Mus musculus: one gene and its partner. The protein of the gene in region 1 purifies or fractionates together with the protein of each later gene. This does not show direct contact. Links are inferred from orthologs where the notes say so. Each region holds a gene or a part of one and is shown on either strand. Other genes may lie near its edges. The genes, in order: Hnrnpf and U2af2.

Evidence for each region.
Region 2: the proteins of Hnrnpf (region 1) and U2af2 fractionate together in Homo sapiens (co-fractionation; 3 studies listed by BioGRID, with this or other methods). This does not show direct contact. The link is inferred for Mus musculus from reciprocal best matches to the Homo sapiens genes HNRNPF and U2AF2.

What each region holds. Positions count from the first base shown.
Region 1 is NC_000072.6:117,899,167-117,914,573, forward strand, and holds the start of Hnrnpf (heterogeneous nuclear ribonucleoprotein F), read left to right. Parts: upstream 1-7,615; 5' UTR 7,616-7,673; exon of another isoform or gene 7,674-7,943; coding exon of another isoform or gene 7,944-8,675; exon of another isoform or gene 8,676-8,752; intron 8,753-8,937; coding exon of another isoform or gene 8,938-9,039; intron 9,040-11,634; exon of another isoform or gene 11,635-15,407. Other genes in the region: uncharacterized protein 4933440N22Rik, read right to left, coding at 7,944-8,675, 8,938-9,039.
Region 2 is NC_000073.6:5,061,508-5,076,209, forward strand, and holds the start of U2af2 (splicing factor U2AF 65 kDa subunit), read left to right. Parts: upstream 1-635; 5' UTR 636-780; coding exon 781-829; intron 830-4,554; exon of another isoform or gene 4,555-4,674; intron 4,675-4,895; coding exon 4,896-5,031; intron 5,032-5,702; coding exon 5,703-5,747; intron 5,748-6,036; coding exon 6,037-6,140; intron 6,141-6,524; coding exon 6,525-6,676; intron 6,677-7,225; exon of another isoform or gene 7,226-7,285; intron 7,286-7,936; coding exon 7,937-8,053; intron 8,054-8,854; coding exon 8,855-8,993; intron 8,994-13,073; coding exon 13,074-13,153; intron 13,154-13,227; coding exon 13,228-13,350; intron 13,351-13,633; coding exon 13,634-13,720; coding exon of another isoform or gene 13,721-13,732; intron 13,733-13,960; coding exon 13,961-14,209; intron 14,210-14,702. UniProt on the Homo sapiens protein: Plays a role in pre-mRNA splicing and 3'-end processing. By recruiting PRPF19 and the PRP19C/Prp19 complex/NTC/Nineteen complex to the RNA polymerase II C-terminal domain (CTD), and thereby pre-mRNA, may couple transcription to splicing.

The DNA of each region.
Region 1 (15,407 bases):
ATGAGTCGCATGCATAAAGATAGCAACAGTCCATAGCTCATGGTCTTTGGTGATATTTCCCCAGGTTGGCAGAAGAGAGTGAGAACTTCTCAGAAGAATACCCTGCTCCCCAGACTCTGCTGGTAGCTAGGGGCGCTGTGTGTTTGCAAGGGCCACTGGAGACCTTTAAGAGTCAAGAGAGGCAATTTATCCCCGCAGGGTAAACAAATGACCCGCAAATGAGTTGGCTATAAGGAGGCCCCTGAGTTTAGACAACAAGTGAAGGAGAAAGATTTGTTCTGAAGATGTCTGAAGACTCCAGAGAAAGAGCAAAGGCAAACCCATCAACGTGTTTCGCTGCAGCCTTCTAGAGCTTAGAAAGGGGATTATTGATTTTATTTCATGCATGTGGGTGTTTTGCCTGCATACATACTTGTGCACCTGTGTGTATGGTTGTAAGCCACTGCATGGGTGCTGGGAACTGAACTGAGGTCAGCTGCAGGTTCTCTCACTCCTAGTCCACCTCTGTACTCTGTAGCTATAACCCACCTCTAGACTACAGGTACACAACTCAGTCATAGTCATAAGACCATGACGCAACACTCTAGAAAAAGATACAATTGAATACTCTTTTTAAAGTTAACTGAGTGTAAGCCCAGCCCCTTATGGTGGTGCACCCCTTTGATCCTAGCAGTGGGAGGCAGAGGCAGGTAGGCCTCTGAGTTTGAGGCCAGCCTGGTCTACAGAGTGAGTAAGCCAGGGCTATGCAAAGAAACTCTGCTTTGAAAAGCTAAAAAAGCCAGGCAGTGGTGGCGCATGCCTTTAATCCCCACACTTGGGAGGCAGAGGCAGGCAGATTTCTGAGTTTGAGGCCAGCCTGGTCTACAGAGTGAGTTCCAGGACAGCCAGGGCTGCACAGAGAAAACCTGTCTCAAAAAACAAAACAAAAAAATTGTCATGGTCATCCACATCTACATAGAAAGTTAGGTCCAGCCTGGGCTACACGAAAACGGTCTCAAAGACAACACCTTATCGGCTCAGAAGGCTTCTGCATTTCAAGACAGGCGACTCAACACTTGTCAGATAACCACATTCACCTCTCAGCAGCACGGCTGGGAGAACTCTGTGAAGTTGGGGCTGCACACCGGAAGTCCCTGTGCTTCTGCTGAGGAAGTGGAGGCAGGTGGAGCATTGAGTCTGAGACCAACTTGAGCTACATCCGCTAGAGCCTGAAGAAAAACAAAACAAAAAAAAACAACGGAGGGAGGAAATCAACTGGGGACCGGAGGAGGAGGAGGCTCCCTAGCTTGTGAGTGAGCCCCAGTTGCTGAAGCATGGCGTATGTCATCTAGTTAGACCAGGTAACGACCTTTCCTTTACCTGTTAGGGATTAAAGGGAGAAACAGCCACAGGAAATGTATGCATGGGCTGCTATAGTGATTTGTCCTTACACAACAGAGGGAACACAGAGAAGCAGGCTTGGAAACTGTTCTCTGAGTTTAGTAGTGGGGTGTGTAGAAGGCGGGCCTCCTACACCAAGTGACTCAGTCCCCTGCCCTGCGTTTCCAAGGCGTGGGTGGGTGGGGGGTGGGGGGCACCAGGAGCCAAAACTATAGTTAGAGAATGGCAACTGCTGCAGGCCACAGACACCAAGGTGCCGCTCCTCCAAATGTTTCCCAATCTCTGCAACCCTATCGCCAGCAGGGCATTCTGGGTATTGTGGTTCAGGAAATGCTCTGTAGGACACAGCCATAGTGACTTTGCAACATCTAGGGATGCTCTGTGAGCAGCTGGCTGGTGGGAAGGCTAATGGCACCTGAGGGCAGGCATTCTAGCTTCTGAGGAAAGTTGGCTTTGTCCACTGGAAGCTGGAGTCCTATTTGATTTGGTTGTGTTCCCCCATCCCCCAACGTGTGTGTGTGTGTGTGTGTGTGTGTGTGTGTATACAGGTCACTGATCAATGGCACTTGAGTTCCTCAGTCTCTCGCTTATTTCCTGAGGTGGTCTCTCACTGAACTTGGAGCTCATGGGTTCAGCTAGACTGTCTGGCCAGAAAGCCCATTTCTTCCTGCCTCCTCCTGTCTCCAAAGCCCAGTATCTGGGATATGGAAATTCACTGGCCACCCTTTTTAAGTGCCTGTTGGGGATCCAAGCTGAGGTCCTCATGCTTGAGCAACAAACACTATGTACTGAGCCATCTCCCTAGGTTTCTCTGGCTTGCTTATCTTTTTGGTGGTGGTGGTGTCATGGCCTAGTTGAATCTTTTACCATCCCAATCTTCTTTTTTCCTTCCTAAAAAAAAAAAAAAAAAAATGAGCCAGAATCTCAAGATATAATATAGCTCTGGCATACCTGGTATTTAGTAGGTAGACCAGGCTGGCCTCAAACTAACAGATATCTACCTATATCTACCTGCTTTTGCCTCCAGAGTTCTGGCATTAAAGGGATATGGTGCCAAACTTAGCTAATTTGATTCTTTGAAATAGAGTCTATGTAGTCCTGGCTGGTCTGGAATTAACTGTATAGACCAGGGCTGGTGAGATGGCTTAAATAAATCTTAAAAAAAAAAAAAATCGCGGGGTGTGGTGGCGCACGCCTTTGATCCCAGCACTTGGGAGGCAGAGGCAGAGGCAGAGGCAGGTGGATTTCTGAGTTCGAGGCCAGCCTGGTCTACAAAGTGAGTTCCAGGTCAGCTAGGGCTATACAGAGAAACTCTGTCACGGAAAAAAAAAAAAAATCCTGTCTTTCAGGTTTGGTAGTGTACTAAAAGCAGAGGCAGGTGGATCTCTGTGAATTTCAGCCAGCCTGGTCTGCAAATCGAGTTCCAGGACACCCAGAGCTACACAGGGAAATCCTGTCTCAAAATCAAAAACAAACAAACAAATGAAAACAAAAGAGAGAAAAAGATCCTGTCTAAAAATAATGTATGGCAATATAAGTTATACAACTGTAGTCCCTCTCAAATATTTCTATCTTGCTGCTGTTATCAAATAGCTTTAAGAAGCGACTTAGGGAGGGTTGGTTTTGGCTCAGTTTCAGGCTACAGTCTATCGTTCTGGGCCTGAGCACATGTTGAGAATGGCTGTGAGCTCTGGGGGCAGGAACAGAAGGCAGGGTGCACTAAGTGGATGCATTAAGTCTGTAACCCAGAGTCAGAGAGAGAGAGATGGTTGCTGGCACTCACTTGCTTTCTCTTCTGTGCCTTTTAAAAGTTAAAAAGGATTTCTTTTATGTGTATGACTGTTCTGCCTGCATGTCTGTGTAACCCCTCCCCACCCCACCCCCACCCCGCCGCTATTTATTAAACCTTGTCCCGTTGCCATTCATAGTGGGTCTTCCTCGTCTGCTAAACTGAGGAGCAGATCATGCCTCGGGTGGTTATGTACAGTGGGCATAGGCATAACCAAGTCAGGAACCAAGCCCTCAGACCCACTGGAAACTAGCAAAGCCTTTCTCATGTTGGGCAGGCTGGGAATTGGGAACACCTTCCCTTAGTCTGAGTGGGAATGTTGGCAGTGTATGCAAAAACTAGCCATGGTAGTTCTCTCCTCCTGGGTCGGGTGCCTATTACCTGGAACTGCGCCTACTGAGACCTTCTCCTGAGACTAGCTAGCCCCAACCCCTGGGCTTAGATAACCTCCAGGATGTTGCGGGGCAGTGGGGAGAGGCTGCAGTAGTAGGTGTGGCTCCATAAATAAGCACAACTCCCCTGTCCCCAGCTTTTCTGTGTGTACATGAGTCTGTCCTTCTATGGTGTCTACCCTTTTTGTTCCATTGATCACCCCGTCAGGTATAGGTGCCAAGACTCTCAGGACATGGTAAGGAAAGATTCTTAAACATGCTTGGCAGTTGAAAATGAAAATTAGCCCTGTGTGTGCATGCACATCATATACACATATACTGTCTTTACTTTTTTATTATTTGTGTATGTGTGGTGGTAGTGGAGGCCAGAGCAGGGAGTTGGAGTTGGATCACCTAACCAACCTTCTACCCTATCAGCTGGCATCGCAGGCAGTTGTGAGCCAACAGACCTGGGTGCTAGAAGTCAAACTCTGGTACTCTTGAAGAACAGCAGGTATTTGGGGTGGGGGGGGTTGGTTCGAGACAGGGTTTCTCTGTGTAGCCCTGGCTGTCCTGGAACTCACTCTGTAGACCAGGCTGGCCTTGAACTCAGACATTCCCCTGCCTCTGCCTCCCAAGTGCTGGGATTAAAGGCGTGCACCACCACACCTGGCCTTTTTATTTATTTTTTATTTTTTATTTTTTGAACAGCAGGTATTCTTAGCCGCAGAGAAATCTCTCCAGTCCTTTGTTTTTGTTTTTGTTTTTTTGTTTTTGTTTTTTTGACTGGGTTTCTCTTTGTAACCCAGGTTGGCCTGACACTCCCTATATAGACCAACACTAACTAGCCTTGAACTTGCAGCAATCCTTTTTGTCCCGAGTATTGGGGATTACAAGTGTGAATCACCACATCTAGCTTAACATATCTGACTGTACTGTACTAATAGGAAGTTAGAATGTACAGCATTCTAATATGCTGAACAAAGGGATGGTTGAGGGCCAGAGTGGGAAGGAGGATGACTTGAGATGTCACTGCTACTCAGAAAAAGGCACAAGACAAAACGAGTTATCTCTAGAATTTCCCATTTCGGGACCAGGGCTTGTTGGACCAGAGTAACTGCGACGACATATAACACAATCAGGTATTCAGGGAAGGAGACTAATGTCCTTGGTTATATGGTGTGAGCACAGCACCCTGGTGCAGGGCTACTTGGATAATTCACGAGGTCCAGGGGAAGCCAGGCATGGTAGCACACATGTACAATCCCAGCACTCAGAAGGCAGGAAGATGTCTAGGCCAAGGCCTGCCTGGGTACACAGTCAAGATGCTATTTCAAAAAAAAGAGGCTGAAGGAGCAAGGGGAGCGCTGGGCACACATTTCCACTGCTGTTCCAGGGGTGGGGTGAGGGGATGGGGGTTAAGCAGGGTATAGCTTGAAGATTAGCCATCTGAGTAAATCCTGGAGGCTTTGTGGCTCTCTAGTTGTCTGGTCCTCAGCTCTCATCCAAGTCGGGATAGTATAGGAGCCCTGATCAGGGAGCTGGCTGGGGCTTCATGGAATTCATCAGTGGCAACAAGAGGAGCAGACTGGCATCTAGCTAGGGCATAAAAACTGGGTCAAGGCGACATGCAGCCATGCTCAAACTATGAAATCTATAACAGGGAGCAGTATTCTGGAGAAATTTATGTAAACAGAGAACAATTTTGTTAGCTTTCTGATCCTGAAATTTTATTACCTATTGTGATGTGTCTATCGTGTGTGTGTGTGTGTGTGTGTGTGTGTGTGTGTGTGTGTACAGGAAGCTAACTTTGGGGGGTTGGTTTTCTCCTTCCACCTTTTGGAGGCAGGGTCCCTCGTTTTTGGCATGATGCATGGTCCAGGCCACTGACCTTCCAGGCCAATCTTCTTCACTTCCCATCTTGACTCAGCATATAAATGTGAATTACCACGTCTGGCTTTTTTAAAATGTGGATTCTGGGGATGAAACGCCACCAGTCACCAGAGTTGTGTGGTGAATGCCTTTACCCCCTGAACTATATGAATAACCTGGACCTAAAACTGTGACCTCCCTTGCCCTCATTTACCCTGCTATGTTCAAACTTTGCTTTTTATTTTACATTCATTTATTTGTTATGCTTTTTTTATTTTTATTTTTTAGTTTTTCGAGACAGGGTTTCTCTGTAGCCCCGGCTGTCCTGGAACTCACTCTGTAGACCAGGCTGGCCTCGAACTCAGAAATCTGCCTGCCTCTGCCTCTCCAGTGCTAGGATGAAAGGTCACTTCAGTTCTTTATTTTTGAGACTGTAAAAGAGCTTTGTAGCACTGTCTGGCCTGGAACGATCACTGTAGACTAGACTGGCCTAGAATTTACAAAGATCTGCCTGCTTCTGCCTCAGGAGTGCTGCGATTAAAGTATTGTGCCACTCTATCTGCTGAATCTGAAAACTTTAAATTTAAAGTGTCAATTTAAATGTAAGGGAACAGGACAGATTGTAACTCTTTTCCTTGACAATTCCTCTCTGCATTTTATTTTTCTAAAATAATAATAATAATAGTAATAATAATAATACCAGTTGTGGCTGGGCACACCTTTAATCTCTCACTTTATGCCTCAGGAGGCAGGGGCCGGTGGATCTCTGAATTGGAGCCATAGTGAGTTCCAGGACAGCCAGCTTTACAACAGAGATACCATGTCTTAGGGTGGGGGTGTGGGGAACCAAAAGAAACAATACAAAACAAAACAAGAGTTGGAAGCCAGCCTGGGTTGCAGTCAGACAGAGGGAGCTCAAAAGTGAAACCTCTGGCTGTAAAAATCTGGGAACTTCAATTTGACCCCTGGAACTCACCTAAGGGAAATGAAAATACTTGTGAAAAGTTGCTCTCTGGCTTCTTCAAGGTTAGAAGTCACTTGCACCTTTCTCTGGCAATAGTAAGGAACTTTAAAAATAAATAAAACCACCCAAGGAGCAGGGTGAGAGGTCTCAGCAGAACTTGCTGCACAGGCCTTTCAACCTTGAGTTTGATCAGGACCCCACATGGTGGAAGGAGAGAACACTCAGGATTGTCCTCTGACTTCAGTTGAAAGTGTGGTGATAACTCGCACGAACTTAACAATTTTAATGCCCCACTCCCTGGGCAAACAAACAAACAAACATCAGAGGTGGGGGATGTAATTTGCCAACTACAAGGCTCTGGGTTTAGTGCTCACGAATACTTATCTAACTTTTGTAGCATCTGTTTTCTATCATTTGACTTCTATTTTTCTTCTTGGACAGGTTTTCCTCTCAAAGTTTTCTTTCCTTTTTCTGGAGTTAGTCTGGTGTGTTGTTTTATAAACGTTTCCTTCATCACTGTAGTTCACTTATAACCAGAGATTATTCTGAACGGCCTTGTAATTTCTCCAGTGTTTATATAGACAGCAGCTCGCGACCATGCATTGTAGCCTCGGCCGCCTCCATGCAGAAATGGAGTTCGTAGGAACCAGCTCGTGTTCCTACGCCCGCCTAGGCGGCTCTGGAAGCTTCAAAAATAATCTTCACTTTAGCTTGTATCTCGACATCTCGCAGAGAATCCTCCCAAATTATTACACATCAAGAAAATCTGTCCCAGCGTTCACATAGTGCTGAGAGTTAGAAACTTCAGACAAATCCCTCCGGACTGCCTGAGATGCCCTTAGGCGGTCTTTCTTTTACATAAGACACCATTCTAGTTTTCCGCACGCATGCGGTCATTGATTCCTTTGGGATCACTTTTCGGGATGCGGAGACACGCGTGCAGAATTCAGCGTCCACCGACTCACCAGCCCACAGGTCTCTTTATGGACAACCCCCTCCACCTTGCTGTCTCCCCCCCCCCCCTCGTTTGCCCGCCCCCTCCCCCTGCTACCCCCCCCCCGCAATGTTTGCGCCTGCGCCGTCACTGTCCTCTCCGGGACTCAGAGGCGGGTCCACAGCTCTCTAGTCCCGCCCCTCTCCCTCCCCCGGCCAATCCTAGGCTCCGTTCTGGGCTCGTCAGAATGGCGCCGCGGCTGCCCTGTGCCCGGATGTCCGCTGCCTGAGGCTCCGCCCCATCACCGTCTTGCATCCTTCCGGCTCCGTCGTGGAAGGAGGACTGCGCCTCGTCTTCCTGAAGGTGGGGTTCGGGGAAGGCCAGCCCGCGGTCACGCCGGCTGTGGGAAGGGAAAGTGGGCTCCCCGGGCTACTGTTTCCGGGTGCTCGGGGCGTGGGCCGAGCGGGGAGCGGACCGGGGATCAGGAGGGCTTCCGGAGGCGCCGCTGGCGCTCGGCAGGCGGGAGTTGAGGAGCAGGCCGGCCGCGCGGTTGACTCGCCCCGCTGAGGCCGTCCCGCGAGCGCGCCTGTGGGGGTTTCCATGGTGACAGTAAACAAGCCTCAACTGCCTCAGCTACAACTGCCAAGTCCCCGGGGTTCCACCCTCCTCTAGGTGCTCTGAGGGCCGGCGAGGTCCGGATGTGAGTGGGAGCGTGGAGCCGAGAAGCCGGAGGTGAGGGCCGCCGGCGGGGTGTGCTGGCGCCTGGGCCCGGCGGGCGTTGGATGGCGGGCGTGGGATCCGGACTCGGAAGGAACGGGGCCGAGGTGGCCGCCGCACAGCCATAGCCGTGCGGAGGCTGCCCACGGAGCTGGGGACCGCGTGGCCGGGGTTTGGGGTCGGGAGCCGAAGTTCAGCGCATTTTCGACGGGGATTGGGCCGCGTGGCCGAGGTGTGCGGTCGGGGGAGCGGGGACTGAGGGCTGGAGTCCGGTCGGTAGGGCCGGGCCTCTGGGCTGAGGTGTGCGGAGGGCCTGGGAGACCGCAGCCGCGGCCCACGCCCGCCCGGAGAAAGCGCGGCTTTCCTCAGAGCCGCCCCCCCACCCCGCCCGCAGGCGCGGCTTCCTCGGCGGGATATTGGGGGGGGGGGTGAGGGTGGAGCGCTTCTCACCCACCGCGGCTTACGCTCTGTCAGCGGCCCCCCGGCAGGCCCGGGCGGTGGTTGTAGTTTGGAGAAAGACGAGCGGGCGCTCACGTGGCCCGAGGCGCCCGGAGTTTCACAAGACTGGGCGGGACGGCTCCGCCCACCGCCCACGCCCGGCCCGAGCGAAGCCGAGCGCCTCGCTTCCTCCTCGTGGCGGCCCGGGAGCTAGGAGCACCGGTCTGCGCCGGTCCCGTCCCCCAGAGGTATCGTGTTAGCGTGTGGGGTGCGGAGTCTTTGCCTAGGTGGGTTAGTCGGCCTTAGCCGCAGTTACGAGCACTTTTGTGCTGTGTTTGTGGAGCCTCACGTGTCTGGGAAAAGTTGAGGTGGGCCCGCTCGGCCTTCCCTCGGCGCGTGCTCTCCGGAGCCTTCCCGACCCGGCGGGATCGGAGAGGCAGCCCCATGTGCCCTAAGACTCCCACCCAGCGACCTTTTCTGCCCCTGCCAGTCCGGGAACAAACAAATGGGCCTCTTTCCTACCTGCAAGTCGGGCTGCGGAGTAAGCGGGCGAGCGAGCGCGGGTGGCCGCCATGTGGCTGTGCGGGATCGGTCTCCTGAACCTGGGCAGTTTTGTTTACGGAACTTTTGGGCTTATTTTAGTCGGTTTCCTTTAATGTTTATTTGTGCGTGGAGGTGAGGGGATAAGGTGAAGAAATGGATTTTTCCAGCACTGGGTCCTTGGGATTGAATTGAGGGTCCCTGTCACAATGATCTATCGCTCTGTCCAGGGGGTGGTTTAAATATTTAATTCTTCTAGTTGAACAAGACAGACGATATCTGGAAATAGTTAATACTTAAGTCTTTCTTCCCTTCGTGCTGCGGAGTGGAGGTCAAAACGTGGTTCAGTTCTTCCATCTGTGTATTCAGACTGAGCGCAGGTAGCTAAGGTCTGGCAAAAAGTGCGTTAGCCCATTGAACAATGTCGAAGTACTTTTGAGTACGCCGGGTGGCTATGCATGCTTTTGCGCTCAGCGCTCGGAGGTAGATCTCAGTTGAGAACAGTCTTACAGACCAAATCCTGACTTAAATTTTGAACTTTCTGCTTTTCTTATCTCCCTCGTGTTGCCATTAGTCTTACCAGCCTTTTTTTTTTTTTTTAAGTTACAAATCATTATGTAGCCACAGAGGATGACCTTGAATTCCAGATCACTCAGCTCCACCTCTAGATTGGAGTACTAACTCGACCACACCCCATTAGTAGTTACTGGGCATGGCAGGCTTTAGGCACGCTTTGTCAGCCCCATTCTGTCTGTATTATGCCCGTTTTTGTAGTAATTTTTAAAAAAGATTCATGGTTTGATTTGAAGGAAGGCCTGGGCACACTGGATCTAAAAGTAAATGCAAAAGTGATTACTTGTTTCTTGAGGTAGGGTCTAACTATTATATTACGCCTTGGCGCAAAATTACTGTATATTTAGATAAGGCTGGCTTCAAACTCAAGCAACACACCTACTTTTGCTTCCATAGTGCTGTGAATTGCTGGCATTAAAGGCATGTATCACGAAGCACAGCTAATACAAGGGGGTGTGTGTGTGTGTAACAGCTTTCTTTTGTTTTTCGAGACACGGTTTCTCTGTATAGCCCTGGCTGTGGCTGTCCTGGAACTCACTTTCTAGATCAGGCTGGCCTGGAAGTCAGAAATCCGCCCACCTCTGCCTCCCAATTGCTGGGATTAAAGGTGTACACTACCACGCCTGGCTGTATTTTGTACTTTTGAGATGTTTGGTTTTGTTTGGGGGGGGGGTTATTTTGTTCTTTTTGGATTTTCAAGACAGGGTTCTCTTTGTAGCCCTGGCTGTCCTGGAACTCTGAAATGTTTGTTTTATATGTGATTATATTTAAGACTTTAGTAAATGCCGAAATAAAACTACTGACCATTTGCTTACCAAAAAAATTTCAGTTCTCTGTGTAACCCACAAGTGAATGGTTGTGGGCAGATGATACCAGTAACATGGAGAGGTCAGAGAACAGCTTTTGGCCCACTTTGCTACTGTGTCTTCTGGGATAAAACTGGGGTCACCAGGATTTCAGCAGGTGCCTATCATCCCTTTCTCTTAAAAATTTTATTTATTTTGCTTTTGAGACAGGGTCTCTATGTTGTAGCTCTGGCTGACCTGTGGCTAGTTCTTTAGATCCGGCTGGCTTTAAACTCAGAACCTTCTGCTATTTCTTGAGTGCTGGGACTAAAGGGTGTATACCACTACTCCTAGGGTCTAAATTTTTTCCCCTCTGATGTTCTGAAACGGGGTTTGTCTGTGTAGCCTTGGCTGTCTTAGAACTCACTCTGTAGACCAGGTTGTCCCTGAATTTAGAGATTGGGCTGCCCCTGACTCCCAAGTGATGGGATTAAAGGTGAATACAACAATTTAGCTCCTTCTCAATTTCAAAAAGTGGAGTATGCTTGCTTTAGTCTTCCTTCCACTGCTAAGATTGAGTGCAGGAGTGCCACATGTAAAGTCACTGTGTCCATGTACCCAGAGAGATGCCTGTGTAGCCCAGGTTTGAACTCCTGCTGGTCAGGTGCTGGGATTCCAATGTAAGATTACCATTACAGTCTGGGTGTTCTGATTATCAGATTATTTCTATTTGAGTTAGTGGAGGCCTATAGACTTAATGTCTAGTTTGTTTGTTTGTTTGTTTGTTTGTTTTAAATTCTGTTTTTGGAGACAGGGTTTCTCTGTAGCTCTGGCTGTCCTGGAACTCACTCTGTAGACCAGGCTGGCCTCGAACTCAGAAATCCGCCTGCCTCTGCCTCCCACGTGCTGGGATTAAAGGCATGCGCCACCATTGCCCGACTAGTTCTTAATATGCCATCAACTTCACATTTCATTTGTTAGCATATTGTTTGCAAGGTCCTATCTTGAGTGAGGGGCCAACATAGCGTTTCTTACAAAACATTTAGATCTTGCTTTGTTTCCATTAATATATATGTAATGGTTAATTTTTTTTCTTTTCTTTTTCTTTTCTTTTCTTTTCTTTTCTTTTCTTTTCTTTTCTTTTCTTTCCTTTCCTTTCCTTTCCTTTCCTTTCCTTTCCTTTTTCTTTCCTTTCCTTTTCTTTTCTTTTCTTTTCTTTTTTTTTAAGACGTGGCTTTACCATGTAGCCCTGGCTTGCTAGAACATCAGATTCTCATCTGTGGTTGCCTCCTGAGTTGGTAGGTTTAGAGTAATGGTTAAAATTTTGAGATATTATTGCTCCCACTTAGTCAAGGTGTTAACTGCTTTGTATGTTGATGATTTGAAGCAGAAGCAAAAGGATAGGTGCAAGTTCTGGGCTAGCCATCCTCTGCAGTAAGACCTTGTTTTTTATTGCCAGGAATGGTGGTGGTACAGAGGCAGGACCTTTAATTTCCCACTAGGAAGGCTGAGGCAGTCAAATAGATCCCTGAATTTGTTGAAGCCTCCCTGTCCTGCAAAACCAAGTTCCAGGACAGCCAGGGCTACACAGAGAAACCAATCCTATCTTGAAAAACAAGACCCCTACCCATCACCCCCTTTTAAAAGTATATTTCCAGAAATCTCATTTTCAAGTTTTTTCTAGGAAGACCATTGTTCTTGGTATTTACTCAAATTTAAGTCAAAATTGAGTGGCGATAGAGGAGTAGCTTGCATGTAACCTCAACATACAGGACACCATAGTAAATCCAGAATCCAGAGTACTTTGATAGAATAAAAAAATTCAGGTACTGGAAATGGAAAGATAGCATAGCCCCTGAAGAACATTTGTTTCTCTTATCCAGAACCTGGGTTTGATTTTTTTTTTTCTTCTTTTTCCAATGTCCAAATGATATTTTCTAACTCCTCTTTTGAAGGAGATTGGCTGAGCTCTGCAGGCATTAAGTAGCATTTGCAGTGCATATACATATCTACAGGTAAAATATTCAGACTTTATGAAATAATAGGGGGCTGGAGAGATGGCATAGGTTAAGAATAACCTGGTTCAATTCCTAGCACCCATATGGTGACTAACAACCATATGTAGGAATGTATTGGTAGGAGTCACGCATGTGTACTTGAATACAAAGTATGGGTGCATACAAGATACATGTGAAATTATAAAATCTTAAAAATAAAAAGGAAATGTTTAAATATTAAGAAGTTTTGATTCCATAGTACGGCATCTTTAAGTGCTGTTTTGTAATTTCTCCTTAAAATATTAATGGTGGTGTTAGGCATTTGTTCCCTGAAACTGCCTACATTCAAAGTATGGTAATTGTCCCTGCTAGAGCCACTCTTACACTCAAGTTTCTTAGCTCCATTCTCCTCTTACATCTGTAATTCTCCATCCTAGAAGCAGTGTATTGTGGCTTTTAGAGTTTACAGTAGCCCCCCCCCCCTTTTTTTTTTAAATAAAGCTCCTGTAGAAAGTTACAGGAGACCTGGTAAAGTGTTCTGTGGTCTCCTGAGGAATCACCCATCCTTTTCTGATATGGTATGGAGGTCTGTTCAGAGACCCCTGAACCTATTTAGTTCTAGCCCGTGACTGACTATTATGGAAAAGAGTTAGAGGGCAACGGGGCTCATGATCTGTGTTTGTCCTACCGTTTTAGTTGTAGTTTCTTTATAGCAGTTTACACAACACATGCATTTCTCCGCTGCTATGGGGGGGAGAGGTACCAGCCAATCTAAATAGAATTTTCAAGTCAATTGACAGAAGGTCTACTGACAATACTTTAATCATAAACATAAGTGAGCTTCATAGTTTGACTACATTTGTCTTATTTTCCATTGTTACTATAGATTTCTTAGTTCTTAAGACATATATGAAGGTAGCAAGCAATAGACCAGTTGGTGGTGTGTGTGTATTTGGGATGGAGGCTGGAGGATAAGGACTTCTTACAAGGTATTAGCTACATAACCAATTTGAGGGATAGCTTATGAGACATGATCTCAGAAGAAATTCAGTTTGTAGTTTCAGTGTAATGAATGTGTTCTACTTTTTCGTAATTTGTCCATTTGGTTACATTCATTCATTCATTTCTTTATTTATTTTATTTCGAGACATGGTTTCTCTGTATAGCCCTGGCTGTTCTGGAACTCACTCTGTAGACCAGGCTGGCCTCGAACTCAGAGATCTGTCTGCCTCTGCCTCCCAAGTGCTGTGATTAAAGGCGTGCGCCACCACGCCCGGCATTTGGTTACTTTTAATGTAAGCCTAAAAGATATGGATCTATGTCAGTATTAAGAATTTTTTTTTATAGTAGCGTAGGCTTTGTGAAATGAACATAAAGGGAAATAGATATAGTAAGTTAATTTAAAAAGTCTTCGTAGTTAGAAGATGGAAAACAGTGTCTTCGTTTTTTTTTGTAGCCCGTGACTTACCTTTGGTAAATACAAACAGTGCTGGAGTAACACTTAATTGTTTGTTAGCTTCTTGGCCTTTATTTACTATATTTTAGAGTAGTGTGTTGGACTTGAAATGTAGTACCCATTGGGTCAGACTTCTTAGTTTAGACCCATTTCTGAGAAACTAAGTGCAGTATGTATATATTGGTACATGTCTTAATTTCTAGGTGAGATCATGACAGGAAGAAATGATTGACTTCCTGAATTGAACTAAGTATAGCTAGTATAGGACTGAGTTTTCTCAGTGATTTGAGTGCTTGCCTAACATGCACAAGACCTTGGCTATGATCCCACTCCATTCCCAAGCACCAGAAAATACAGCTAAAAAGATGGATCTGCTATGGTTGCATACCTGTAGTCCCTCCCATCATTTGGGAGGCGGAGACAGCCAGGACACAACTTACAGGCAAGCCTAGACTCTTCAAGGTCTAGTCTCAACAAAAAGGTACCTGTAAAGTTTGAGGTGAACCTGGCTACATATTATCCCTTTTTCCTAACCCCTTTTAAAATCTGTCTGCCTTCCTAGTGCTGGGATTAAAAAACAGCATGCCTCCATACCATCTTTTCAAAAAAGATTTAACCCGGTTTCAGCCCAGGCTGACTTGACTGTGTCCCTCACCTTTGTGGTGGTGGATGACCTGGATCTCCTGATCCCAGTACTTTGGAAGTGTTAGATTTACAGGTGTGAGCTAGTGCCTGCATTTTGTAAGTATGCAGTATTTTTAGTGAGACACATATATGTGTACAATTTATGCAAATAACTGTGATGTGTGTGTGTGTGTGTGCACGCGCGCACACACATCCCCCCCCCCCAAATCTTGTAGCTCAGGCTGGTTTTGAACCTATTGTATGTAGTCTAGGCTGGCCTTGACATCTCCTGAGTTAGCCTTGTGAAATGATATGATCTGTACCACTAGGGAGGTAGTGGTAGAGAATCAAGAGTTTTAAGGCTAGCCTGTGCTACAAAACCAAACAAAACATTGATTTTAGAATACAAAGTACCATATTAAGACTTCATAGGTGCGCTCACCTCTGAAGCTGACTTAAACTCACTTTTCTGTCAGTGTATATCTTTTTTCTCTCTTACGGTAAGAAACTGAACACTAGTGATACATGCTAAGTCACAAACCAGTTAATTGAAGAAGGTATTACATTCAACTACCTAAGTGCCACACATATTTAGGTAAGTAATACAATACACCAAGATTTTTTTCCTAAGACCTAAGTAGTAGTACTCTTGGTAGAAACAACCTAGATTTCTCTTTCTCAGCCATGGGGTCCTCACAGAGGGCCTTAAACATGTAAAAATTATGTCTGTGCTGTCCTACAAGGCTCAAATTTTCATTTAGTACTGTTTCACTTCATAATATGAATTATTTATCTACTTTTGATGACGGGATTTAGAATCTTAAGATTAGGTGATTTTTTATTAGGTGTGGTCTCCTGTAACCCCTGTCTGGCCTGGAATTCAGTATTCCAGGGGATGATCTTAAACTGCTTATTGAGAACAGATAGCATCTTGCTTTGTAGCTTTGGCTATGTTGACCAGGCTGGG
Region 2 (14,702 bases), on another chromosome or scaffold:
CGCCCCCTCCCCCGTAGCTATCTGGCCCACCTCCCATCAGTCCTCCCTCCCTTTTCGGGTCTTTAAGCCGAAAGGAGCCGAAGCAAGAGCGGAAAGAGCCGAACTTCCCTCCTGGGCGTGAGACCTTCCCGAAGCAGTGGCGGAAGGGACCGATATTCTCCGGAAGGGGCGGAGTGACCCTGTGGCGCCTCCGGAAAGAGCCGAAGACTAGAATCGGGCTTAATCTCTAGAGGGGCGGTGAGCGAGCGCTGGAAACCTTCGGAAAGAGCCGAAGGCCCGGACGGTTAGGATTGTTGGAAGTGACTGACCGCTTGGACAGGGTCGGCGAGGGGTGGGACGGATTTCCAGAGGAGGCCAGAGACAGACGGTTTGAGTTGTAGGAAAATCCGTGTCTTTAGAGGGGGCTGGTGTCGGGGAACGCGAAGACTCGCGGAATCCTCCGAACGTTGAAACGCTAGTTTCCGAAAAGTTACCGAAACTCGGGCAGCCGGCATAATCCTCGCTTCGGGTGATTTTGACGGCGACCGCCGCCTTCCGACTGCTCCGTCCGAGAACAGCCGACAGGCTTCGGAGCCGAGCTCGGGGAAGTTCCGGGGGGGGGCGGGTCGGGCGGGACGAGGGGGTGGAGCCTGGGAGGGGCGGGGCTTGGGGCTTGATTAGGTAGGCGACGGAGTGCCGGCGGGGGCCGGAAGTAGCCGAAGCCAGCGGCGGAAGTAGCCGGAGCGGGCGGGCGGCAAGGCGAGGCGAGAGCTGCACAGGGCCCTACGCGGCCGCCTAAGCATGTCGGACTTCGACGAGTTCGAGCGGCAGCTCAACGAGAATAAACAAGGTGAGGGCGCCGGGGTTGTGGGGTGGCTTCTTGCTTCGCCCTGTGCCCCCCCGCCATTTCCCTCTCTTGTTCGCTTCCCTAGGGCCGCACGCTACCCCCCCACCCCCCCGTCCGTGCCGCGCGCGCCGAGCTCACGTGACCTCCTCTCGGCGCTGAGGGAAGGGGTGGCGGGCGAGGCTCAGGGCGCGTGCGCGCCGCAATAGCCCGCGCCCACGTGGTCTCGGCGGAGGCGGCGCGTTTTGTTAAGTAGATGCCTTGAGAGCGCGCGGGATTCCGTAATGTGAAGCTTTTCTGTTGTCGTTTTAAATTTTTGTCTTTTACTTGAGAAAGATGAATTTTGGTCTCTAAATTCTGTCATTTTCTTTTGCTGCCTTGGCACTTCCGCTTCCGGTCGTGCGTACTTTTCTTTTCTCCACGCCCCCTTTGTTTCCAAAATGGCGGTGGTGAATCAGCCCCCCCCCCTCCTTTCCTTTTCCTTCACGTGGACTGGCAGTGCAATCTCCCGCTGCTTGTAGGTTTCGAGCCTGTTCATATTTTTTTGATTTCTCCAGAACTCTCCTACCTCGATGTTTCTGTCTCCGTCTCCGTCTCCGGCTTTGCGGTGTCTTAGATAAAAATGTGTCCTACACTTGTTTGCCCGCCAAAGAGGGAAGTCTGCGTTCTTTGTGCTCCTGTTGAGCATAAATCATGTATGCCTTGGGGCTTTTTTTGGCGGCAGACAATATCTGTTTTCCATATCCCTAACAATCCCTAAACTTATCGGTTTTAGGCAAAGCCCAGGTCCTGTATCATTCCAAACTCGGGTACCTAAAGCCAGTTACACTATAGGGATTGTAAAATATTCAACAGAATGGGGAAGAGGGAGCTGGCCCATTAACAGGTTAGTGGAGGCAGGTGCTCCCAAGGTAAGATCTTGTACTATGAATTTGGATCAGAAAGGCAAGCAGGCTATGTTGGTGCTGGCGGATTTAGGGATACCGAGGAAAACGTTGATTTACAAGACATTCTCTACAACCTCTTCTTTTTTGAGACCGAAGAGTTTAAATTTCTTGAGGGTTGAGACTTAAGCTGTCTTGTGTTGGGGCACTGGATGAGACCTTGAGAATTATTTGAAATGAAGCTGGAATTGAGGAGAGAGTAGCTAAAACAGTACACGTGGAAAAGTAATTATTCTGAGTGTCCTTGGTGAGCTTTTCTGCTTTGAGTAGTGTATTGCTTTAGAGTATAGGGCTTAGGGATTGAACATACCTGAGTTCAAATACCTTCATTACTCTTTATCTGACAGTCTAATCTGTTACCTGTATGCTGATCATCGATGCTTTGTTTACTGGGTTTTTGAAATTAGTGGTACATACTGACTATAGTTGTAATTAAACTCCTTCCTTGTCAAGGCAAGGAAATTTGTTAAACTCTTAAAATCTGCTTTTTTCTGAGAAGGTTTCAGGTTTCTGTGTAGCCCGAGCTGTCCTTGAACTCACAGAGATCCTCTTGCCTCTGCCTTCTGCTTGAGGTGTGAGCCACCACCACCAGGCTCTAAACAGTTCTAAGTGAATTACTTGTAACAGTCTTCTGAGGACAAAATAGTTTTCTGTTTATTGAGCAGGAAACTGAGGCTCATTTAGTTTTTATTTTTATTTTCTCTTAAGAGAAAATGCTCCAAGCATTAGTTGGAAAGCTGGAGCTGAGTTGAAATGGAGCAGTGTGTATATATAGCATGTGGCTTGGGTTATGCTAGGTGCCTAACTAGCTATAATTGGTATTGTGAAGATAGGTGGATTTTGGCTCAAATAGACTGGTGTTGTTATAGAAGGGTGGGTAAAGTGGATGGCAAATTTTACTCCCTCATGAGACCTGGGTAGTGTAGATTTGACTTTCATTCAAGGAAGGGGAAAATGGATGTTAAAGCTAAGTTCCTGCTTTTGTGTAGATCTCTGACTGCAAAGCCAGTTCCTTGTAGTTCTCGAGTGTCCCTGCTGATGTTGGCAACAGGGCCTGAGACCTGGCCTAGAAGGGCCAGTTGTTGGAGTTGTGTACATAAGACAACTACATTATAGCGTTTTGAGCAAGTGAAGTTTCCTTTTCTTAACTGTCCAGCATCATTATGTGGGAGAAGGTTCTTGTCTTGCTGGAAGAAAGCTTGACCACTTTGTCACCTTGCTTGCCTATGGGTATTTGTCTCTGACCCAGCCTCACTCTATCTCAACTTTAGCCCCCTTCTCAGTTCCTTAAGTCTACTGGGAGTTTGTGTCCTAGGCCCTTGGTATTGTCACTTCATCTCTGGGGTTCTTTGTTTTTGAGACTTAGCAGCAGGGAAGACATTTGGGATTTGTAAGTGGCCCCTCTTCGTGGTGTGGAGCCAGAGCTGCCTGGTTCTGTGCTTGTCTCAATATTCCACAGTTCTTGCCTCTGTCTAGCTCTTGATTGTTTTATTTTATTCTTTGCATGTATGCATGCAAATTCTTTTCTGTTAGTAGTTGAACCCAGACTCTGTACTGAATGTTTTTTGCTTGGTATTCATTCCAGAATACAGCCTGGTACCTAACTTACTTGCATTACAATTTCAGTCTGGGCTTCACTGCTTTTTTTTCTTTCCCCGAGACAGGGTTTCTCTATGTAGCCCTGGCTGTCCTGGAACTCACTTTGTAGACCAGGCTGGCCTCGAACTCAGAAATCGGCCTGCCTCTGCCTCCCAAGTGCGCCACCACGCTGGGCTTTTTTTTTTTTTTTTTGCTTTTTTAGTATTAGTAAAGGAGTTAAAGATTTCAAATTTTCCTACTTACTGCAACAGAAAAATACATAATATAAATGTGAGGTGAGTTTAAAATCTACTTTGAAAATTTTCTCATTGATTTTTTTTTTTTTTTTTTTTTTCCTACTGCCAATCTTAGAAGTCAATACTTTTGGGATACACCTGTTTCGGTTCTTGAGTATGTTTGTTTTTGAGATAGGATCTTAATTTAACTCACTAGCCAACTCTTTTTCTTTTCCTGTGTCAGCCTGCCACATGCCTCATCACTCCTGGTTGTGTTGCTCTGTATGGGTGCGTGGGTTGATGGTTGAGAGATCGGTGGTACTTTGGAATTAAGAAAATGTATTAAGGCGATCCTGGTTTAGCGTCTACCTGAAGTGGGTAGTCTGCAGAATAGGAGTTATATTGTGTTTTGGTTTAAGTTGGAACCCAACTAATGTACCTCTAGCTGGTATGGAACTTGCTATGTAGACCAGGTTGGCCTTGAACTCTCAGATCCACCTGCCTGCCTTTGCCCTCTGAGGCTTTGTAGTTTTTCTTGCAAGGCTGTGCTCTGTTATTAGTAGCCATGGCCTCTAAGGCAAAGAAGCAAAGGAAACAGTAGATAATGGTGAAGACACAGGTTCTTATTCTAGCCCACCCTGCTTTTGGCTTTGAGGGAGTGAGGTAGCCAGGGGCTGGTGGATGCGGCTTTCTGGACCATGAGTTGAAATGTTTGGGAGGTATCTTTTCCTTCCTTTCTGTACATTTAGAAAGAAGCCCCTCCCTTTCAGAGGGTGTTTACTCTTGCATTATTCACCTGGCTGGGAAGGGATGGAATTGAGTTTCCTCACTTCTTAAGGTTACTAGGTCTGCCTGGCACCTGACCCTGGGGTCTGATGGTGGGGCTTGTGGGTACCAGCTGGTTGCAGAGGTTTTTCCTGAGGGTTTGGTGGGTTTCTTCAGGAAAACATCATTGGGTCTCTTGATTCCCCAGCCTCTAGCCCTGCCCCTCTCAGGGACGACCCTGAGGTCAGGCCCCTCAGCCCTCGAGGGGGAACAGGAGCCAGCTTCCTCTGTCTTCTCTGGCTCCTCAGCTCCTCTTGAGCATCTTCAGGTATCTTACACCCCGGGGGCATTTCCAGGCCCTGACCCTTTGGTTCCTCAGAGTCCTTGTAGACTCGTGTGTGGACCCAGGAGGCCTGTTGTCTCCTTTTATTAAAATCCCTTCCCTTGGGGGGGAGGCCTCCCTGGGTCTTGGTATAGCCACCAGCACGCAGGGTGGGCTGGGCCTGCACTTTCTCTTCACTCATTCCATCTCTTCTCACACTTGTCCAGAGCGGGACAAGGAGAATCGGCACAGGAAGCGTAGTCACAGTCGCTCTCGAAGCCGAGATCGAAAGCGCAGGAGCAGGAGCCGAGATCGGCGCAACCGGGACCAGCGCAGTGCCTCTCGGGATAGGAGACGACGAAGGTACTAGAGCTCTGGAACCTCTGGCTGGATGACTGGTCTCTGTGTTGGTACTGCTTGGTCTATCTTGAACTCCGTTTTCTCTGTTTATGGGATTTCTTTCAGTTTCTCTGGCAGTGCTAAAGGACTGCTGGGGGCAGTAGTTCCTGGGGACAGAGACTTTTTTTTTCCCTTTTCCTCTCTCTAAGGGCAAGGCTGTCCCTGTCTTTAAGGGCCCAGTTAATGTTTTGTTCTCTCATTCTGTTTGGGGCTGTTTTGAAGCCCTGTTTCTTCTTCTTCCGATGTGTTCTGGGAGTAGGGCAGGCTGTACCTGAAGCCTGAGCCTTAATTTTCCAGCTCAGGGCTATTGGTTTAGTTATTTAGAGTTATCTTCCTTTCCTGGGTTCCCTCATTCTTTCTGTTCCTTCTAGGTAAGGAGGTGTGGGATATATGAAGAGCCTCCTTCCTTATCTCAGTTTCTCCATAGAGTGGCATAGTCTCTTCCTGCTTATTACTTCCTCTTTCCTGGGAATGGTAGGGTTGGGGGGCTTGGCAGGGCTGAGGGGGCCAGCATGTTCCTCGGTCCTGCCTTGGTCTTGGGGTTCAGTGACCTTGGGCATGGTGTGTTGTGTGGGGAAGACAAAGGTCCCCAGTCACTCCTCCCCATACCTTTCCCTTTCCCTCCCACCCCTCAGCAAACCTTTGACCAGAGGCGCTAAAGAGGAGCACGGTGGATTGATGTGAGCTTCTCTTCCTGCCCCTTCTGCCCCATGTCCACTCCCTTATCTCCTTCCTCACCTGTGCAATTTGCCTGCCTTGCATCCCCACCCTGGCCCTAGCACTGGGGAAGAGGCTCATCTGCCAGTGTCCCTCCTCAGGCCCAGGCCCAGCTCTCCCTCCTGGAGAGAGTGGAGCTTATGTGTGGGAGGGTGTGGTGGGCTGGGAGGTGTTCCCTTATGGGACTTGGAGGCCCAGTGTTGGTCAGACTGAGGTTGCCCTGCCCCACTTTCCCCCTCCCCCCTTCCCCAGTCGTTCTCCCCGCCATGAGAAGAAGAAGAAGGTGCGTAAATACTGGGACGTGCCACCGCCTGGCTTTGAGCACATCACCCCAATGCAGTACAAGGCCATGCAAGGTAGGCCTCTCCCTCCCATAGACTGTTGTAGGGGTTAAAATATTGTGTGTGTGTGTGTGTGTGTGTGTGTGTGTGTGTGTGTTAGGAGTTAAAGTTCTGTGTGAGAACATGTTTGGTGAATCTGAAGGATCATACTCAAAGGCTTCTGGTACCTACCATGGGAAGCGCTGCTGCAGGAGGGAATGTCTTCCACAGTGGGCCGCTTAGGAAATCAGACTTCTTAGTAGTGGGTATTGGATGGGGCCCCACTGCTGAGTTGACTTGGGTGATTGAAGAGCTTCCTGAAATCATCGTCTGGAGGGTGGCTGGGTAGGGTCAGTGTACACTGAGTGGTCCTGGTTTTAGGGTTGCTGATGGTTTTTACTCTCTATACCTCTCTTGAAGCTGCGGGTCAGATTCCAGCCACTGCCCTTCTCCCGACCATGACTCCTGATGGTCTGGCTGTGACCCCAACGCCAGTGCCTGTGGTTGGGAGCCAGATGACCAGACAGGCCAGACGTCTCTACGTGGGCAACATCCCTTTTGGCATTACTGAGGTACTGCCCTCCTCCTACCCCTGCCCTCTCCCCTGTTTCCCCACCCTGTGCCTCCCCACCCTCCATTCCCTTTCCCCAACCTGCACGCGTCAGACTCTGTTCCTGCAAGACCCCCCGGCCCCCTCCCAGACGGACGGATGGAGTTGAGCCAGCCAGGGGCCGGGCTGGGGGTGGCCCCTCCCTCCCTCCTCTTCCCCTCTCCCGTCTCCCTTTCCCCAACCTCCTCCAGCAACCCAGGGATCAAACACACACATAACGTACCCACCTACATATTGTACCTACGTGTTGGAGAGAGACAGAGAGGGAGACTCAACACACGTACAAACAGACGCACGCCCCTACAGTTTTCTGACATGCTCTCCTTTTCTGCCGTCTATCCACATCCTTTTCCCCACATCCCTCCCATGGTCGCTGTTCTTTTGTTTTTGGTAGTCCTGACCTCCCCCACCTTCCCCACCGCTCCTCTCCCCCATCCCTCTCCCCCACCCCTTCCCGTGGCACCCCCTGAGAATCCCGAGATCAAAGAGTTGTTTCCATTTCTCTTTAAAGTGAAATATTGTGGGGCTGAGATCCCTCGTAGCAACAAAAAGTTTGCTACCATCGTTGAAGGCAAGTAAGGTCCATTCTGACTTTCTCAACCTGCACTTTGCTACATTTGATAAACCAGCCCCCGGACTCCAGGGCCAGATCCCTCCACATCACTCTTTTCTCCTCCCCTCCCGCCCTACCCCTTCTTCCCCTGCTCCTCCACCCCTCCCCGCCCCTGCACTCTACTTGTTCTGCCTCTCTGGGCACCCTTCCTGTCCCTTTGCTTGTCTTTCTCTTCCTGCCTGTTGCTCTCCTACCCTTTCCTGCCTTGTTTGCAATGGGCATTTCTTCCTTGTGTCATCATGTTTTTTGTTTTTGTTTTTTTTTCCTCTTGCTGTCACATCCTTTCATCTTTTCTTGAATAACTTTTCCTAACTTTTTGGGCTCCATGGCTCATCCCTCATGCCTGTCCTCCTGTCTGGCCCATTTGCTCCCTGTCTCCTGTCCTTTGGTATTGCTTCTTCTCTGTTTTCTCATTTTCCTCCTGCATTTTTTCCTACTATTGACCTCTACACCCCTGACCCATATTCCACTGTCCCTTTCCCTCCCCGTTCTCCCTTCCCCCATTCCTCTCCCCTTACCCCCAAACCCCTCTGTGTCTCCCTCTCTCACCCTTCCCCTCCTCTCTCCACCTCCCTCCCCGCCCTTCCCTGTCTCCTATTCCCTCTGCAGGAGGCTATGATGGACTTCTTCAACGCCCAGATGCGCTTGGGAGGGTTGACTCAGGCCCCTGGCAACCCAGTCTTGGCTGTGCAGATAAATCAAGACAAGAATTTTGCCTTTTTGGAGGTGAGTTTTCCAGTGATAAGGGTAAGGGGTAGTAGGGATGGTCTGTGCTGCCTACTCTGACTGCTTTCCCTGCAGCTCATTTTCCATTTGGCTGCTGGAGTAGTTCTGTAGTCCTGTCCTACCTTATGCCTTCCTATGCTCTACCTCACTGGGAGGACTTTGTGGCTTCTTCCTGCTTTGTTGGTTTTTGAGACTATTCTGGCCCAGTCCACTCTGCTTAGGCTACATTGATCTTGCAGAGGGCTCGATGTTTCTCCCTATTTGGGGCCTAGGTTGAGGCAGTTTACTCTCGGTGTTTATACGTTACGTTTGGGCAGTTCGTTAGTTTGGAACTGTCTGTAAAGACCTAGCTCGACTCTGGGGTCATACTCCTAAAAACCGTGGGGTGTTGGCATGACCAAGGCTGCGGAAGAGGTTTTTCAGTGTTCCCTTTTCAGACTGCATTGCCCATAAGAGTCCACTTTGATTTGTACTCTTGGAGACTAATGTCACTTCATCAGAAAGCCTGGGCTGTCATTGCCACGTAACTTAGTTGACCTAACTTTTCTATGCTGGCTTCTCAGCAGTTGGTCCCTTTCCAACATTGTCAGAGTTTATGATAGTGTGCTTGCTATCTGCTGGGTGCGAGGATATTGCTTTCTAGAGTGTGAGCTTCTAGAAGCTATCTGGTAGTGCTTGTTCCCATTGTTCATTATGGGTTTGGTACTATGTTTGTTTATATAAGTGGGAGGAAAGTTAAGAGTCTTGGGGGCTGGTCTAGTCCCAACCTACCCCTTAGCTCTGTTGTTTCTCTTCCTTCAGTTCCGGTCAGTGGATGAGACGACCCAGGCCATGGCATTTGATGGCATCATCTTCCAGGGCCAGTCATTGAAGATTCGAAGGCCTCATGACTATCAGCCATTGCCTGGCATGTCAGAGAACCCCTCTGTTTATGTGCCTGGTGAGTGGGAATTCGTTGGGTGGGTGGTATGGGGAGTCACTGTTTCCTCAACCCAGGTTCCTGTACTTAGTCCAGCTAGAGTTGCTTTGGAGATAGTGTGTGTGCGCTGTGGATGTTCTTCTAGCTTGGCAGGTGTCCTGGGCCTTTGAGGTGGTGATCTGTGATCTTCAATCTTAAAGTTTAGCTTAGCTTGTAAATGTCAGAGCCAGGTCCAGATCAGAGGTGTCCTGGAAAGTGTGGGACTTGCAGTCTGGGCATTGTTTTTACCTTGTCCCCTTAGCCCTGGGATTTTAGGGCTTGATGTGTTGTGTATGCTATGTATTTGTAAGTACATATCAACAGATCTTTGCATGGTTCTGGTGTGTGGCCCTAGCATGTTAGTGTTCACTGATTCCATGTCTTTGGCATGTGTTCTGTACTGTTTCCTATAATTGTATATAGTATAACCTCTGATTGGTAGGTCACGATAGATCTTTACTGTTTAAGCTACAGACGGGGTCATTAGAAATTTGGATTTTTTGTGATCCCCCCCCCCCCCCCCCAATTCTGCACTAATCTTTCAGTGTTTAGCTGTAGTTTGCTGGCCTTTCCTTTGGCAGGTCAGGCGGGATGAGCTGGGATTTGCAGGCTGTATGACCCCTGCTGAGCTTCAGGAAACACTGGTGCTGGGGTCCAGCTGAGTCAGTGAGGCCCAGGTCTGAGGCTGATTGCAGTGAATGTGGGGTCCTCCGAGTAGATGCTCAGCATCAGAGGGTGCCCACTGGAACCAGGTCAAGTCACCCCTTCTCTATAGAGGAAGGAGCACATTTCTGGTAGTGTAGGACTTGGGGTTAGGGCCTGACTACCGAATGCTTTCTTACTGCAAGTTCTGGTCACATACCTGAGTCTAAAGCTAGCATGCTCTTGAAAGTATTGCTTGGAGAAGATTCACAGTGGTACTGGGGCTTGAACTCCAGTCCTTGTGCTTGTCAGGAAAGCACTTACTGTCTAACCTGAATCCCAAGCCCCTTTTTAAGTTCTCATTTTGAGGTAGGGTCTCACTAAGTTTGCCTAGACAGGCCTGGAACTTGGGGGCCTCCTTCCCCCAGCTGCATGGGTAGTTGGGATTATAGCCCTGTGCCACTAGGTCCTGCTTGCTTACTGACTTTCAGGTGAAGCTGTAGAACATCTTTTTTTTGTATCTCTTGGCACTAAATTCATTGTTTGGATTGCTCTTTAATTCCATGAATAGACAGCCACCTGCTGGTTTTACTGACACAGTGTGGCATGCCAGGTATTGCCTGTTCCTGAATCTTCTTTTAGCCTTCACTCAGCTAATTATGACTTGGAAGTCAGTTGTGACCCACTGCTTGGTTTTTTGTTGTTGTTGTTTGTTTTTCAAGACAGGGTTTCTCTGTGTAGCCCTTGCTGTCCTGGAACTCGATCTGTAGACCAGGCTGACCTCGAGCTCAGAAATGTCTCCCGAGTGCTGGGATTAAAGGTGTGCGCCACCACGCCTGGCCCACTGCTTGTTTTTACAAATAAATTTTGGCACAGTGTCATTCCTTTTATATTACTTTTATTACTGGTCTCATTGTGGTATTAGGAATTGAACTTAGAGCCTTGCATATGCTAAGCAGGTGGTTCGCCACATGGGGATACTCTCAGCCTTTTTACTAGTAGTTTGAGGCAGGCTTTCTCTGTGTTTCCCAGGGAGGCCTTGAACTTTGGATCTTCCTGCAGAGTTGGATTATAAGCTTGTACCAGCAGGCCTAGCTGTAGTTTTTTGACACATGGTATAACTGTATCTTAGACTGGCCTCTTAACTTGATTTTCTGCCCCCAGTATTGAGATCACAAGCATGTGCCACATCACATGTCGTGGATGGAATTGTCACTTTACAGAGGAGGAAAGCCAGGAGTGGTGAATAATAATAATTGTTCGTGATCACGAAATTCATAGGTTTTCTGGGCTGCACAGGTTGGCCTAGGAGTCCTAGCTCAGCTTTTCTCTGTACTCTTTCATGTTAAACTTTCTACTGAGAACATGTAGATAACAGGCATAGTTGCTTTGGGCCATGCTGTTAAGTGACGGGCCTCTTTCACAGGGAGTCTCTACATTGCTTCCATTAAACAATAGAAGGAAGATCAGTCCTGTGTTGTGTCTCTTTGGGATGTGCCTGTCTGAAGACCTGGCCCTCCAGGTCTGCCTGTGCTTCTGCACAAAATTACCACTTTGGAGGAGGCAGCAACAAGTGGAATTCTGTCTTGTTTTTTCAACTTCCACTTCCAGAGGAGAAAAACAAAGGTCACTAAATAAACTAGAGAGGAAAAGCATTTGATGAAATCCAATAAGTATTGATGATAGAGTTAAAAGATTTGTAAATTGGAAGGCTGATGTTCTTCCTGGGGAGAGAATGGACTGATAACTTACACTGACATCACCTGTAGTGGACGCTGCGCTTCATTTCTGTGGAAGTGAAGTTGTTGTTCTTAGTCACCAGTGTTAGCACCTTGTATCCCTGGATTAAGTGTAGCAGAATGCTTCTGTATGCGCCCTGTTTGTAGTGTGTTGGTCTCCCTTTTTCTCTAGCTGTAGACAGCAAAGAATTGAAGTTAGGACAACTGGCTTGGGTCCTACCTTGTTCTCCCTCTGAGAGAGAAGTGATAAGTCACAGTGATTACCAGATTGGGCTTGTGGTCCAGCTGCTGCCTTGCTGCTTACTTGTCAGAGACTGGTGCAGAGTCAAGCCTGCTGAGCTGCTTTAGAAAAGCTCTGTTGAAGTCACCCTTTTCCTACTCTTAGAACTTTACTTCTTTTGCTTTAAGCTAGGGCTTTTGTACCTAAGGTATGAGTCTTTTGCCTCCATATAAGTATATACTGTTTGGATGCCTGGTGTCTAAGGACATCAGACGAGAGTGACGAATTCCCTGGAACTGGAGTTAGGAGTGGTTATGAGTCCTCCTGTGGGTGCTGGGGAACTGAACCTGGGCCCCCTGGAAGAGCAGCAAGCACTGTTAACTGCTGAGCCAGCTCTTCAGCCCCAGATAGATTTTTAAAGTGGTTGTCCTCTGGCTTATGGCAGTACTGGATATGGCCTGGCTGTTAATGCTTCTGCTTGTCATAGTTGCACTGTAACTTAGGTCTGTTGCACAGTCTAGATAACTTGACTACTGGGGTGCACTTCTAATAGTTAGAAATAGCTGAATTGATGCTTGCAGTTCTTTGGGGCTAAAGAGTTATAGTGGGGCAGAGCCAGCCTAGAAGATGGGTGGGGCACAGTGACTCAGGTTCTGGGTGTGTCGAGTCATTATCTTGATGCTTTTGTACATTAGGATGGACCACTGCATTTAGCATGGGGGAGAGCTGAAAAGGGTAGCCATACAGAGTAGCCAGACTGATGCAGGGCTGAAAAGGGTAGCCATACAGAGTAGCCAGACTGATGCAGGGGCCTGATACTGACTCTAAGAATTAAATGCTAATATTGGTGAAGCTTGTGGGGTGTGCTAAGAAACATCTGGCCGTCACTTCTATGTGAGTTGAGTAGAGAAGTGGTGCAGACTCCCTCAGGTGATAGCACCATGTAGTTATATTAGAGCTTTAATGGATCCTGAACACAGCTTCGAAGAGTTGACCATTAGTCATCACTACAGTGGCAGTCAACACTGAGGCATGTTCTGAGACTCTGAGCAGCCTCTCAGCTCCTTGTCACATTACCTCAGAATGCAGGTCACCCCTGCAGGGGCTTATGGATACAGGGCAAAGGACTGAACAACCGAATGGGATGAGATGTTGGTGGGTGGTTGTCAGTTCTTCGGGAATGTTTCATGTTCAGTTGTTGGCTGGCCTATGCTTGTATACTTGTCAGAATAAGGGGATTTAGTGTGGCCTCCTCCCACCTTTACATGGTATCTTAAGTAGATAGGACCTGTGAATCCATGGTAGATTTTTTTTTTTTTTTTTTTGAGAGACTGATTCTTCTGCCTTAGCCTCCCCAAGTGCTGAAAAGACAAGTGTGTGTCACCAGTCACAGCTTTCTTCCTGGATGTTGGGAAATTACTTTGTATTGGAATTGAAGTCTTTATACATTTTTGTCTTTAGGAGTTGTATCCACTGTAGTCCCAGATTCTGCCCACAAGCTGTTCATCGGGGGTTTGCCCAATTACCTAAATGATGACCAGGTAAATCCTCTGCTCTTTTGCTAGCTACCTTTGTCAGCCTGACCAAACCCTGATGAATTTTTGGCCCTTTGTAGGTAAAAGAGCTGCTGACATCCTTTGGGCCTCTCAAGGCCTTCAACTTGGTTAAGGATAGTGCCACAGGGCTCTCCAAGGGCTATGCCTTCTGTGAGTACGTGGACATCAACGTCACAGATCAGGTGAGTCTGAGTAGCTGCTCATTCCATCTGCCCTTAACCCTACTCTTATTTCTAACCTTAGGTATCCTCTCCTCAGGCTGTGGGGTGGGGTGGGGTGGGGTGGGGCAGGGTGTTTAGTCTTAAGCAAAGCCTTGTGGGGACTCATTCCTTTTCCCTTGGTTTTGCCTCTTTCCAATCTTAAAAGCCCTTTGCCTTTCATTCTTTCCCCACCAATGCCTGGTCCTTTGGTTCCTGACCTGTTGCTTTTCCTGCACCCTTTCCACCCTTTGTCCTCTGACCATAGGCCATTGCGGGGCTGAATGGGATGCAGCTAGGGGACAAGAAGCTGCTTGTCCAGAGGGCGAGTGTGGGAGCCAAGAATGCCACGCTGGTGAGCCTCCCGGCACGTCATCTTCCATTGGCTAGAGGGACCCTGGGGGTGGGAAGGGTTGGATGGGTAGGTTTTCTTGAGTTCTGCCCCAGTTTTCATGGGAGGGGATTTGGGCACTGGGTTCATAAGTGCTTAAGTAGAGGAATGGTCCCACTAGTTGGGTGTAAGAGGCACAGGCTTGAATGGAGGGAGGCTAGTCTGAGCCATTTTGTGACAGATCTGTTCTCCCTGACCCCACAGAGCACCATCAATCAGACACCTGTGACCCTTCAAGTGCCCGGCCTGATGAGCTCTCAGGTGCAGATGGGCGGTCACCCAACTGAGGTCCTGTGCCTCATGAACATGGTGCTGCCTGAGGAGCTGCTGGACGATGAGGAGTATGAGGAGATTGTAGAGGACGTACGAGACGAGTGCAGCAAGTATGGGTTGGTCAAATCCATTGAAATTCCCCGCCCCGTGGACGGCGTCGAGGTGCCTGGCTGTGGAAAGGTCAGGGTGCCCTTTTATCTTTTGTGAACAAATCCCTTAGCACCCTGTCTCTCTCAGTACCTGACTAGTTCTGAACAAGGGTGACGCAGAGGACCCTGAGAGGATCAAGGTCTCCTGGGGTCTTGGGGCCTATAGTGGAGAAATTGATTTCTATATATTGATGCTATGTGTGTGTCTCTGTCTGTCTATCTATCTATATGGTGTGTGTGTGTGTGTGTGTGTGTATATGTGTATATATATATATATGTGTGTATATATATATATATATATATATATAAGTTCAAAACTTAGTTTTTCTCTTTCTTATGTGGGATCCTTTAGCAAGTAGCTTTTTGCCTTTTTTTTTTTTTTTTTTTTTTTGGTTTTTCGAGATAGGGTTTCTCTGTGTAGCCCTGGCTGTCCTGGAACTCATTGTGTAGTCCAGGCCGGTCTTGAACTCAGAAATCCGCCTGCCTCTGCCTCCCAAGTGCTGGGATTAAAGGAGTGCACCACC